3 linked regions of the Notamacropus eugenii genome follow. The protein of the gene in region 2 purifies or fractionates together with the protein of the main gene of each other region. This does not show direct contact. Links are inferred from orthologs where the notes say so. Each region holds a gene or a part of one and is shown on either strand. Other genes may lie near its edges.

Region 1 (4,277 bases), on a different chromosome or scaffold from region 2:
TCATGTACATGGAGCAGGGTGAAAGGTAGAAGTCAAAAGTCCCTGAGAAAGAGGCATAGGGAACACGTGGTTTGAAGTTGTCGGCATTCCCCCTGATGACAGGGAACCCCCTTAGGAACGGGGTTGATGTGAGGTCCCCAGAATCTGTCCATCATTGCTGAAGGCCTCTCCCTTCCCCTGCATGAGGCAGAGAGGCAAGCTGCCCATTATCCCCCTTCCCCAAAGAATGTCCATGCCTGGGAATGCCCCCCCCCCTCTTCTTTTTTTCTGGCCAGGCTATTTTCTACCTGGTCCACTTCCTTCCCTTCTTAAGACTTTACTTCAAATTTCTACTTCGTGGATTTGGGATCGAAGTCAAACATCTCGGCTCACACCAAGTCTTGCAGAAAAAAAATAAATTTAACAAAAAATATATTAATAAAAAAGTTTAAAAAAAGGGGGGGCAGTCATCTCCTTTGAGGTGTGAGGGATTCAGACCATTCTACCCTAAGACCGCCTATCTCCTCCCTTGGTCAGTTTTGGTGCCCCAAGGGTAAGATCTTATGGAGGGAAAATTGGGGGGGGGGGCTGAACCCACACATCAGGGGAGGGTGGCTGGGGACCCCCAGACCTCCAGTCTGCCTTTGCTCCATCACACCCATCGAGTCCCACGTGCTCGGGGCAGAGCCAGGTGCATGGAGGAGCTGAAGGGGGCTGGGTCCTACCCATAACATCTGTGCTTTTTTGTTTATCAATTTATAACGTCTGTAACTCCAGACCCGCACAGCACTTTACAAACACTGCTTCGGAGATGGGAGCTACTATCTCCATTTTACAGAAGAGGAAACTGAGGCAGGCAGCGGTAAAGGGACCGGCCCAGGGCCACACGGCCAGGGAGGGCTGGGATGCGGCCGCCCCAGCCCCGGAAGGCTGAAGGCCGGGCCGGGACGAGGGCGAGGTGGGGCGGGAAGGGGGCAGGCCCAGGTAGGGAGCCGCCCCGCCCGGCTCGGACCAGGAAGCCCGCACACCAGTGGAGCTGCCGAGGCCAGGCTCGGGTGAGCTGGGGGCTGCTGCGTGCGCGCACGCGCGCGGGCTGTCCGGGCTGGGCCGCCGGAGACCACGAGCGTCTGACGAGGGAGGGACCGGGGGCTGCAGGATCCGCGAAGCTCGGAGGCTGCGGGGAGGGGGACAGGTGGGAAGCGTGAAGACCAGGTGTCTGGAGCCGGGGCTGTGGGGCAGCAGGGTGGGGCGGGGCGGGGAAATAGGGAGAGGCTCCGCACATGCGCAGTTGGGGCATCGGGAGAAGGGAGGGGCTCGAGGGGTGCGCAGGCCTGGGGAGGGAAGGGAAGCGAGAGCAGGGAGGGCGCGTGCGCGGTGAGGAGCGCCTGCGAGGGGGGTGGAGCGCCTGCGAGGGGGGTGGAGCCAGAGCCCCGCAGGTGGAGGGGGTGGGGAGCTCCTGGCCTATGGGCTGCGGGCGGGGGGAGCCCGGTGGGCGGGGCGAGGGCGGGGCCGAGGCGGCCGGCCCGCGGTCGCTAAGCTCCAGCCGGCCCGCAGCCCTGCCCCGCCCGGCCAGGATGGTGCTGCCCTCCCTGAAGCTGCAGGAGCTGATCCAGGAGATCCGCGGGGCCAGGACTCAGGCCCAGGAGCGGGAGGTCATCCAGAAGGAGTGCGCCCACATCCGGGCCGCCTTCCGCGAGGGCGATGCCCCCCAGCGCCACCGCCAGCTCGCCAAGCTCCTCTACGTCCACATGCTGGGCTATCCCGCCCACTTTGGACAGGTACCCCACCGGGCACCGCGCCCCTAGCGGGAACCATCCACACCTCAGCTCTGCCAGGACTCCCTGCTGTGCACAGCGGGAGCCCTTCCTTCTCAGGGACGCCCCGCTACAGACACAGGCTCACACCCCGGTCAGGAGCACAGCCACTGCAATCGGGTGACCCCTCATCCGGTCCTCCGCTGCTTAGACCCCAGGATTTCCCAAGGACCCCCCTACACACACAGCCTCACACCCTGATCATTGCAGCCAAGTGACCCCTCCTCTGATGTAAATGAGTAAGACAGCAGGCTAAGACCAGCAGTTCCGGTTTATCTTTCAGATGAGAGTTACTAAACCATATGTATATACAATTCTACATCCTAACATATTTACAATTGAAAGTATTGATTTAAAAACCATTAGTGTTAAACTGTCTGCTATATTAGATGAAATGAAGGCAGCTTACCTTACCTTGAGAATCATATTTCCTACAAATCTTTCAACTAGTTAGGTTTTAAAAAATGTTATTTGTGTAAAGAAAAAAAATTAAAAGCCTCCCCCAAAATCCCAAATAATCTGGAATACTCAACTCCAGCTGTCTCCTGCTGCCTAGACCCCAAGATTTCCCAGGGACTCCTTTTGACTCACAACTTCACCAGAGGCAGGGTGGCACACCCATGCCATCCAGGATCAATCCTCAGCTCAAACCTTCCCAGGGACTCTCTCTTTCCCTGCCCCATACACACAAGTTCATGCTCTCAGGAGGGATAGGCCATTTCAGCTAAAACCCATCCCTAGGACTGCCTATTTTTCTTCATTGATTCAACTAACATTAATTGGGTGCTTGAAATGAGATCCCCACAGCCTATCTCCCCGAAGATCTCAAGAACCTCCTTCTTTTACATATCTAAACACACACCAGTAAAATTCTCTCAGTCTTCTATGTATATCATATATACAGGTTGTCTAACTATCCCAGGCAAAATAAATTAGATAGTTTTTAAAGGCCTCTTCCAGGCCTAGATCCTAGAACCTAACAGTGAAACTCACACTGAAACTAAGGGGATCGTTTCCATTTCCTGCCCTGTTTTGGCACTATTCCACTTTCTCTATACTGAATAGTATAGAAGGTTAATTTAAATGTTAGGGAGGGGAATGGAGCGAGGCTACACGATCTCGGGTCCCTCTCACTCTTCCTTCTGGTCCTCGGCCTCTCCTGTCTTCCTATAGATGGAGTGCCTGAAGCTGATCGCATCACCCCGATTCACAGACAAAAGGGTGGGCTACCTGGGGGCAATGCTGCTGCTGGATGAGAGGCAGGATGCCCACCTGCTCATAACCAACAGCATTAAAAAGTGAGGAGGTTGGGGGAAACAATATATTCGGGAGTTTGGAGGATTCTCAAACCCTAGATAGTAGATGAGCCCTAAAAGACAGAGATGAGAGGCATCTGTGGGAGGGAAGAACTCAATTCCTAGGGCATTTCCCAATCTTGGCAACCCCTGCAGTGACCTGAGCCAAGGGACCCAGCCAGTGCAGGGGTTGGCACTATGTACCCTAAGCAACATGGGCTCAGCAGAGATGTGCCGGGACCTGGCCAATGAAGTGGAGAGGTTGCTGCTGAGGCCCAGTCCTTACATTAGAAAGAAGGTAAGTCAGGATGGAAGGTCCTCTGATGCATTTACCTTCAAGAAATTCTTCCTTGAAACTCCCAAATCTGGGTTTGATATTACTGTGCCCTTACAGTGGCTTCTTCTGGCCTGTGCCCCTCTTTCCTCCCCCACTCCCTCAGGCAGTGCTGGCTGCAGTGCACATGATCCGGAAGGTCCCTGAGCTCTCTGACATCTTTCTCCCACCCTGTACCCAGCTGCTGCATGAACGCCACCATGGTAAGAACTCTCTTGCGCAGGGAGCTCCTTTCATCCTCACTGTTAATAGCATCACGTGAACCTGCCACCCTTCCTTCCTACACTGTTCTGTCTCCTTTTGCAACTCTGGATATGGGTCATAGAAGAGTGACATGGCCCAGGGTACAGAGGTGAAAGGTGAGGCTTGTCATTTCCTGAGCCAAACAGGTTAGCAGGGCAGGTTTCAAATAGGTTTTCCTCTGACTCCATTTGATTTAATTTCCTTCCTCCCCCTCTCTCCTGCTCCTTGAAACTAGGTATCCTGATGGGAACGATCACACTGATCACAGAGCTTTGTGAGCGAAGCCCTGCTGCCCTCACACATTTCAGACAGGTGAGTCAAGAAAGAATCAGGAAACTCCCAGGGCAGAAAAGTACAAAGTACTGATAGTATGGGGGTGTGACTGGGGGTACAGCGTTCTTGTGTCCTTATGTGAAACTCTTCTCATCCCCAGGTTGTACCCCAGCTGGTGCAGATCCTTCGGACTCTGGTGATGTCGGGATATTCACCAGAGCATAGCGTTGCTGGGGTCAGTGACCCTTTCCTGCAGGTGCGGACCTGACCCTGGCATCATAATCTCTCTCCTCTGTCCCTCCTGTGTCTCGAGACAAGGAAAAGAACCCAGCTATAACT
Region 2 (4,277 bases):
GTCTTTTCTGACTAAAGGAGAGCTGTGACTCCAGGAGCGTCTTGGCCATCCTCAGTCTAACAGGCAGCCCTGCCCGCCCCCTGGAAAGCACTCTTCCTCTGCCTTTCGCCTTATGTATTTATTTAAGGTCCCGGGGGTTGGTTTCACCGAGGCTCGGGCAGGTAGAGCCCCAGATTTTCAGGTAACTCGTCTTATGGGAGGATAAGTGATTCATCCAACGTGAGAAGTCGGAGTTGTGGCCACGGGCTCCCCCTCCCTCCAGCGGGCAGTCTGCACTTTGCGTCTCAATAACACAAGATCTGGGGAAATGGAATCCGTTCTATTCCTAGTTCTTCAGCCGCTTTGAGATTGGACAGAGTCCGTCAGTTTTCTTTTACGTGGAAAGGTGTACAGTCTTTGTATTATTAGCCCAATGATTGAATTAATAAATACGTTGTGGTGTCGTCCTCGTTTGGGAGGAGCTTTGAGATCCTTGGAAAAGTATTTCCATTAGCGTAGTGCTTGACCTACAGTAAGCGGTTCATAAATATATTGCAGTCCTCCTTTGTGAGGAGCTTTGAGATCTGTGGAAAAGTGTATTAATGTTATTAGCCCAATACTTGACTCATAGTAAGCGTTTAATAAATGCGTATGGACTGTTGGACTGTGTTTTGTTAAATGAGGGAGGATTGACTTAGGTTTTAATTGGTTGAATAAGATTAACCCAGTCAAAAATGTAAGACATATTTGATTATTTATAATTTTGCAAATTATTTTTTACAAAATCGAGAAAGGGCCCATTTCACAATAAAGAAATATGTTTAAAAAGTCAGCATATTATGAATGTTAGGGGAAAAATCCAGAATTACAATTGTACTTGAAATGTTAACACGACTATAAAAAAGATATTGAAAAATTACATATGAAATATGTTATTTCATTTATTCAGTATTTCCTTATTTGTAGTTTAAAAGTCAAGTTTAACTAAAATAAGTTTTCCTGAAATAATAAATTTTTAAATGGTCACAATTTTATTTGCAGACCCTAACTAAGCATACAAATATCAAATACTTTAAAAGGTAGCATTTGTGTATATATGATTTTGATTTTGATAATACAGTCATGCCCCAGTTTGGCACAGTGTGTGTTGTTTTGAATTTTTATAAAATGAATATGAGAAGAGAAATTTTGTCTGAAAGTATGGTTGATCTTTCATATTTTTATTTCTGTTAAAAGATACCAACTGAAATGTTAATTTGTCTTGAAAAGTGCCATCCGGTTGGGACAAATAAGGTATTATAAGAGAAAACAAACATGTTTTATATGACTACATCAAATGTTACTAAAACATGTTATTCTTTGCCTCTTTAAAGCGTATCAAAGGTGATGGTTTCCTGCTCTAACCATAATTATAATAATTTTTAAATTTTCAATTGCATTTCTGAGTTTGTGTGTGTGAGAGAGACAGCTCTGTGAATGATTTATTTTTATTTTTTAATTTAGTGTGGATATTATGATAATCATGTATCAATTTACTTTCTCTCTGTTCTGTTATAATGGAGCTTGTTAAAAGCTACATTGAAAAAATGTAGCTTTATCTCAGTGTGTGTAGAATCTGAAAATAAGATTTGATTTGTTTATTTTACCAGATGCAGTTTATGTTGCTTTTTAGTCGTCAAGGAAAGCTCCGACTCCAGAAATGGTATGTTCCACTGTCGGACAAAGAAAAGAAAAAAATCACAAGAGAACTTGTTCAAACAGTTTTAGCCCGTAAACCCAAAATGTGCAGTTTTTTGGAGTGGCGAGATCTGAAGATTGTCTACAAAAGGTATAATTTTCATTTTTCAGAAAGTTGCAGTAGGAGACCAAATGTTATTTAGTTCATAATAGTAGTCAAATATGAATGAAAAGTGACTTACGGACAATTATACAAAGAGGAAGACCACTTTTGTAATTAGAAATTCTTAAAGTAGACTTAAAGTGATGAAACCTTAGATGAAGTAAACTATAATATGCCTCCTTTGATGCAGAATTGAAATGACAAATCAGGAAATACTTTTAATAGATGATTCTTTCAAAGCTTAAAAATAGCTTTAATGATGAGTATACTCATTTATAAATTTATTAAGTCTTCATACATATTAACTTTTAGAAAAAGTAAATAATCATTACTCACATTTAAATAGCATTTTAAGAGCTGCAAAGCTATTTTTCTTCAACAACCCTCTAAGGTAGGTAGGACAACTATTACCTATATTTTATTGAGGTTTTTGAAAAGACATACCTTGCTTATTATCACATAGGTATTAAATGTCCAAAATGGGATTTGAACCCACTAGTATACACTGTTTAGTTTAGGCATTTTTTAAAATGTCATCTGGTTAGTAAAATTGGAATAATAATTTTCACTGAGGTTCGCCTAGACAGGTAACTAAAATACTGAGCATCAGATTTAAACTCTGGTTTGTGTTTAAAAAGCTTTTCAAAATCTGACTCTAACCTACCTTTCCTGGTTAATTATACATGTTCTTCTTTCATGTACCCGTAGGTAGGTCCAGTCAAACTGGCCTTGCTTTTGCTTACATACAGCATTATTTAAGGCCTGCTTCCATACCTGTCTCTTCCAGCCCCCAAAATACCTGGGGTTCATACTTTTCTCACTTTTGCATCTTGAAATTGTGTCTTTCCTGAACCCTGCCTGGTTGCTCATTTCTCCCTTCCTATTTCCTGAGGGAAAAAAGAATCTTTTATGTATTTTGTCAATACTTAGACACATGCATATTGTCTCCCCCGTAGAATGTAAGTTCATTGAAGGCCGGAACCTTTTTGGGTTTATAGTTACAGCACTTGACATAAAAGCAAGCTGATCATTTGAGACTGATTTTTGTCACACATCTTATATCTAAGCCTTTTCAGTCATATTGATGTTTAAAATTCTTGTTTATTTGAGACAAAGCCCACTTTGTTATTAACAAAGTTAATGCACGTTTTGCAATATCAAAAATGTGGCGAGTTACGAAGTAGTTTCATCATAGGAAGATGTTGAAGTTTGATCTCTATGAAATAACAACTGAAAATTACTCTTTATAACACGATGAGAAATATATTTTTTAATAGTAACATTTACTTCTGTGGAAAGTATAGTAGTATAATTATATTGAAACGAAAGTAATATTTCTCATAACTGTGAAATAAATTATTTTTAATCTGTAGACTTTGATTTGGGGTGTTGATTTCACCTTGTTTCTTTTCCTTTAATAATTTCATTCTTATGAAGTAAAATAACTTTACTGAGCAGAATAAAAAAGAAATATTTCAGTATTAGACAAACATTTTGTAATATGGAAAAAAAGAACTGATAATATAAAGTTTTGAAATCAGAAAGGGAAAAAAGATCAATTTTCTCCATTCCTTCTCTTTTTTAAGCATTTAAGATTGTATAAAAAGCAATTCAAAACTAGTGGTAGATGAATTTAGAGGAAAGTAAAACTGCATTCATATTATTTTGTAAAAATTGGATTTAGTGATCAGTTCTGACCTTTTGTAAGCAGTATTATTTAGAAAGAATAGAATTTTGAAATGGAAGGGACCCTAGAAATCATCCAGTCCATTCTTTCTGCCTCCCAACTTAGTGTACAGATGAGGAAACTGAAACCTCTACAAGTTGTTTCTTTTTTGTCTTTGTATCACCAGGCCTAGGTTACTATAGTGCCTTAATAAATGTTCATAGAATGACATTGTTGAGATTTGCCCAAGTTATGAAGAACTCAGGTCTCTTTAATACCAATTTAATGCGCTTTCCAGATAGTTTGGTCTTATTAATAATAACTTTATTGAAAGTTAGGGAGAAAGCATCCAATTGAATGTGTAGCCTGTGGTGTGAAAATTGATTCAATCCTTTATATTCACCAGATAGCCCATGTATTTGAGAAGTTTATGAAACTGAATAAGCTAATAGTTGGATGTGGGATATTATAATATCTATTACATGAATCTAAAAAGCAAAATGTTGGTAGGTTGAAGAACTAAACAATGATAGATGGTGGGACAAAAGAACTGAACTCAGTTCTAGTTTTATTAGTGGACTAGCTGTTTGATTGAGCAAACTTCTTTATCTGTATATTTCAGTTTCAAACTCACTGGCCAAAGTCTCATTCATTCATTTTCCTCTCTCCTTCTCCTTCCCTTCCATCCCCCATTACCTGTTTCTGTTAATGATACAACAGTTCAAGTAACTCCTGAATTGGAATACAATAGAAGCAACTCCACATTCACCTCCTATCCATCCTTCTTTTCTT
Region 3 (4,277 bases), on a different chromosome or scaffold from region 2:
TGGAGAAGGAGGTGCTCTTAGTTAGGTTAGGTTTAACATTCTTCTTTGGGGAGAAAGATAGACACCACCAGGCTGCTCCCAGGGAAACTGTCCATTCATCTCTAGTCATCAGACCATTTGATAACTACTATTAGTTAATTAATAACTAATAAAAAACTGATAACTAATAAAAGTTAGTTAATAATTAACTAGCTATTCTTGATAAAGAGGTGCTATTGTAATTATTTCTACATCTTGGCATCTAAGAAGCATGATTACTGGGTGGAGATGGGGGTGAGGGTGAGGTAGGGGTGAGGGTGGGGGTAGAAGAGAGAAGTGGTAATCCTTACAGAAAATAGATGCTCTTGGGGAGGGGGCTGAAAGGGGGCTTTGAAGGCAACCTCTCCAAAGACTTCCATTATCCTAAAGCATCATTATAGACCTGGGAAAGTCTTTAAAGACCACCTTGTCCATCTTCTTTATTTCAGAGAGAAGACAGAGCCTCGTGTTTGTTATCTCCAATTTGGCTTGTAGATATTTTTGTACATAGGTGAAAGAATGAGTATTTATTAAGCACCTACTACATCCCAGACACGATGCTAAGAATTTCTTACATCTCATGTGATCCTCACAACAATCCTGTGAGGTGGGTACTTGTATTAGCCCTATTTTACAGCTGAAGAAACTGAAGCAAACAGGGTTAAGTGACTTGTCCAGGGTCACACAGCGAGTATCTGCGGTCAAATTTGAACTCAGGTCCACCTTCATCGAGATGGAGAATTGGATAGAGTGCAGGACCTGAAGTCAAGAAGACCTGAGTTCAGATGTGACCTCAGACACTCTCTGTGTGACCCTGGCCAAGTCACTGAACCTTGTTTGTCTCAGTTCCTCATCTGGGGAAGGGGATGGCGAACCCCTCCAGGATTTTTACCAAGAAAGCCCCAGGGGGTCCCAGAGAATCAGACACCACTGGAAAACAGTGACTTCGGGATTCCAGGTCCAGTGGACCTACTAGCTGCCAACACAGTCGTCTGCACGCGGTTTCCCTGGAGAGCTGGGGCTGTCTTAGGGCAGTTGGGGGCACACAGTAGATGCTTAATCAATGCCCATTGACTTGACTTGGCAGGGAAAGGACTAGAATCAGCCAGATTGTTGAAATCCCGCCTCCATGGTCGTTGATCCTGGTCACATTTAGAATATAAATAAAATAATAAATAAAACAAATCCATGAATAAATGAAATGAAATGAAATTGTGCAGGGGGCGTGGCCTGGAGACCTCGGGGGGGGGGGCTTTTAGGCCCGCCTCCATCCCCGCCTCCTTGGGGGCCGGACTCCCCAGCCAGAAGCTCGGGGATGGGCTACGGAAGCGGGATCAAGCCAAGCAGACTGAAGACAGCAGAGTGGGTGGAGGAACTCCAGCGTGGTAGGCGGGACCGACGCCTCACGTGACAGGTCTGCTAGGTCCCGATTGGCTGTCCCGCCGGAAACGGCTCGCCGGTGGCCGCGTCTGCGCAGTGGCGAGGAGCTCCGGGCGTTCTGCGAGGAGCCGGGGGTGAGTTGCGGCGCGTTGGGCCGCCCTAGTGCGCGCGGCGTCGCTGCCTGGTTCCGCTGCCTGGATCCCTTCTCCTCTTCATCCCTCCCCTCCTCGGGGCTCACGTGGCCGGGTGTCGCGGGCCCGCCCGCAGAGGCTTGGTCAGATTCAGAGGCTGCTCACGCGGCGCTTCTGCCTCCGCGGTTCCAGGCCGGGCTCCGGGGCTCGTGGGGGCCCCCTTTCTCCCCGTACTCCCCCAAGCCTTGAGAACCCTGAGGGCAAGGATCGCCCGAGTTCTCCGACCCGGGCACCTTGGCTCCGCGTCTGGCGGCCGGCCCGCGCACGAGGATTTCTGAGCTCGGTGATCGGGGTGGGGACAAGCGACCTACTGAGCGCGGCGTTTTCTTTGTAATCCCTCTTTTATCTCTTACGTTTAAAAACTCGGGTAAAGATCCGCGGCGCGCAGAGGCCGAAGAACCAGTGCCCTCCCCCTCTTCCGATCCCCGGTCTGTGGGCAGAGCGGGAAACTTCACGGCTGGAGGCCCTCAGCCACCCATAGGCACGTAATTGTCACTGTGGATAGACTGGGGAACGTCGGGTCCGGAAGACCTGAGTTTGCATCCTGCCTCGGACACTCACCGGCAGAATGACCCGGGAGGAGTCATTTAACTTCTCTCAGCCTCAGTTTCCTCCCCTGTAAAATGGCACGCAGTTCACCAGGGTGAGGTGAGGATGAAATGATACAGCATGTAGAAAGCGTGTCGTAAACCTTCAGTGCTGTGTAAACGCAAGCTGTCATCATGGGCGAGATTTTTTATATCATCTTTTTCTGACTTGTAAGAGAGCTTTGGGTAAGGAATTTTCTCTACCCGTGGAGATGAGCTACTCCGACTTACATGCCTCCTAACGACACTAATTTGAGTGAAGTGACTCACCCAGGGTGATGAAGCCGGTGTGTATCAAAGTGGATTTGAACCTTCCTGGTTCTGAGGCTGTCTGTACTACTCTGAGGTGCCTCAGCATTCTGTGATCTTAGGATCCCTTTTACAAAGTGAGACAGCCCCTACCTACCCCCAAGGGAGGGGTTTCACCATCCTCCCAGTCACTCAGGCTCACAACCTGGGGTGTGTGTCATCCTCAACCCCCCTCTCTCTCACCCTCACCATATCCAGTCATTCCCAACTCCTGTCATTTTTACCTTCATAAGATCTTTCTTATGCTTTCTCCTTTCTAATGACAGTGTCACCTCTCTAGAGCAGGCCTTCATCACCTCCTGCCTGGGCTATTGGAATAGCTTCCTGGTGCCTCTGCCTGCTTCAGGTCTCCCCACGCAGCTGTCAAAATGATTTTCCTTAAGTGCAGGTCTGACCAGATCACCACCCATATTCAGTAAACTCTGTCATCTCCCCCATCAAGTATAAAATCCTCTTTTTGGCTTTCAGAGCCCTTTATAACCCACCCCTCAGGCACCACCATGGACACACCACTCCCTTCCCCCACTGTCCTTTTCCATCCAGTGACACTGGCTGCCTCGCTGTTCTCTGCACAGGACTCTGCATCTCCCAGCTCTGGGCATTTTCACTAGATGTTTCCCACCCCTGAAATGCTCTTCCTCCTCCTGTCTTGCCCCTCTGACTTCCTTCAGGTCTCAGCTAAAGAAACCTTCCCTGATTACCCTTATGCCAGTGCCTTTCCTTTGTTGGTTCTTTCCTATTTATCCTCCCCATGGCTTGTCTGCACATAGTTGTTGGCTTGTGTCTCCCCCATTAGATAGGGACTGTTTGTCTTTCTTTTGTATCCCCATTACTTAGCACATGCCTGCCAGAGAGTGGGAGGTTAATGCAAGCTTGTTGATTTGACATTCTGCTATATGTCCCTCTTGTCTCCCTCTATATTTTCTTGGTTGTTTGACCCATTTCCAGGAATTCAGTTACCACCTATGCAGATGACTCCCAGATCTGATTAGGTCTGATCTCTGTCTGGGCTTGTGTAGCCTCCTGGATGTGGTCAGTACTTCCAGCTCCAACTTCTACCCCTGTGCTTTGGCATAGCCAGGCTTCCATTTCTGGAACATGTTCTCTCTTCATCTCGTTGTCTTCTCCCAGAAACCTTTCTTACTCATAGTTGCTAATGCTGTCTCCACTGTTTACTTAACCAGTGGCTATTTTATTCTGCGGTAGAACACAAGTCCCTTTAGTTTTTGTATCTTCATCCCTGTTCTTCTCTGAGATAATAATGAAGGCATACTGCTCGGTTTCTTGATAGCATGCACTTAACATTTATTGAATTGTCTTCCCTTCAAAACCCACCTCTCCCAAGTGACAAAATCTACCTCTCTCCTCCCTGTCACCCATAGGTGTTAACTTTATGGTCATCTTAGTGACTGCTAGCAGGGTTCTGTAGTATATAGAGTGTTGGGCCTGGAGTCAGGAAAACCTCAGTTCAAATCCAGCCTCTGACACTTACTAGCTGTGTGACCCTGGGCAAGTCACTCAACCTTGGTTGGTTTCCTCATCTCTGAAATGAGGATAATAATAGTACTTACCTCCCAAGGTTGTTGTGAGATTCATACGGGATAGTTTGTAAAGCATTTAGGATGGCACTTTGCACTAATAGGTCCTTAACAAAGGCTTGCTTCCTTCTTTCATCCTTGATTCCCTTTTCTCCCCTGCTCCTACATTTCTAATCAGCTGTCAAATCATGTTAATTTTATTTAATTTATTATTTTAATTCATTCCCATCTATCTCTGACCATGTCCCCCCTTT

Evidence for each region.
Region 1: the proteins of AP1S2 (region 2) and AP1G2 purify together in Homo sapiens (affinity purification with mass spectrometry; 3 studies listed by BioGRID and IntAct, counting the BioPlex papers as one, with this or other methods). This does not show direct contact. The link is inferred for Notamacropus eugenii from reciprocal best matches to the Homo sapiens genes AP1S2 and AP1G2.
Region 3: the proteins of AP1S2 (region 2) and AP2B1 purify together in Homo sapiens (affinity purification with mass spectrometry; 3 studies listed by BioGRID and IntAct, counting the BioPlex papers as one, with this or other methods). This does not show direct contact. The link is inferred for Notamacropus eugenii from reciprocal best matches to the Homo sapiens genes AP1S2 and AP2B1.

The regions. Positions count from the first base shown.
Region 1 is NC_092878.1:9,585,057-9,589,333, forward strand, and holds the start of AP1G2 (AP-1 complex subunit gamma-like 2), read left to right. Parts: upstream 1-1,553; coding exon 1,554-1,757; intron 1,758-2,966; coding exon 2,967-3,091; intron 3,092-3,244; coding exon 3,245-3,386; intron 3,387-3,528; coding exon 3,529-3,625; intron 3,626-3,900; coding exon 3,901-3,977; intron 3,978-4,098; coding exon 4,099-4,194; intron 4,195-4,277.
Region 2 is NC_092876.1:374,168,573-374,172,849, forward strand, and holds the start of AP1S2 (AP-1 complex subunit sigma-2), read left to right. Parts: upstream 1-1,198; 5' UTR 1,199-1,227; coding exon 1,228-1,272; intron 1,273-1,628; coding exon 1,629-1,807; intron 1,808-4,277. UniProt on the Homo sapiens protein: Subunit of clathrin-associated adaptor protein complex 1 that plays a role in protein sorting in the late-Golgi/trans-Golgi network (TGN) and/or endosomes.
Region 3 is NC_092873.1:307,739,396-307,743,672, reverse strand, and holds the start of AP2B1 (AP-2 complex subunit beta), read left to right. Parts: upstream 1-1,450; 5' UTR 1,451-1,532; intron 1,533-4,277. UniProt on the Homo sapiens protein: Component of the adaptor protein complex 2 (AP-2). Adaptor protein complexes function in protein transport via transport vesicles in different membrane traffic pathways.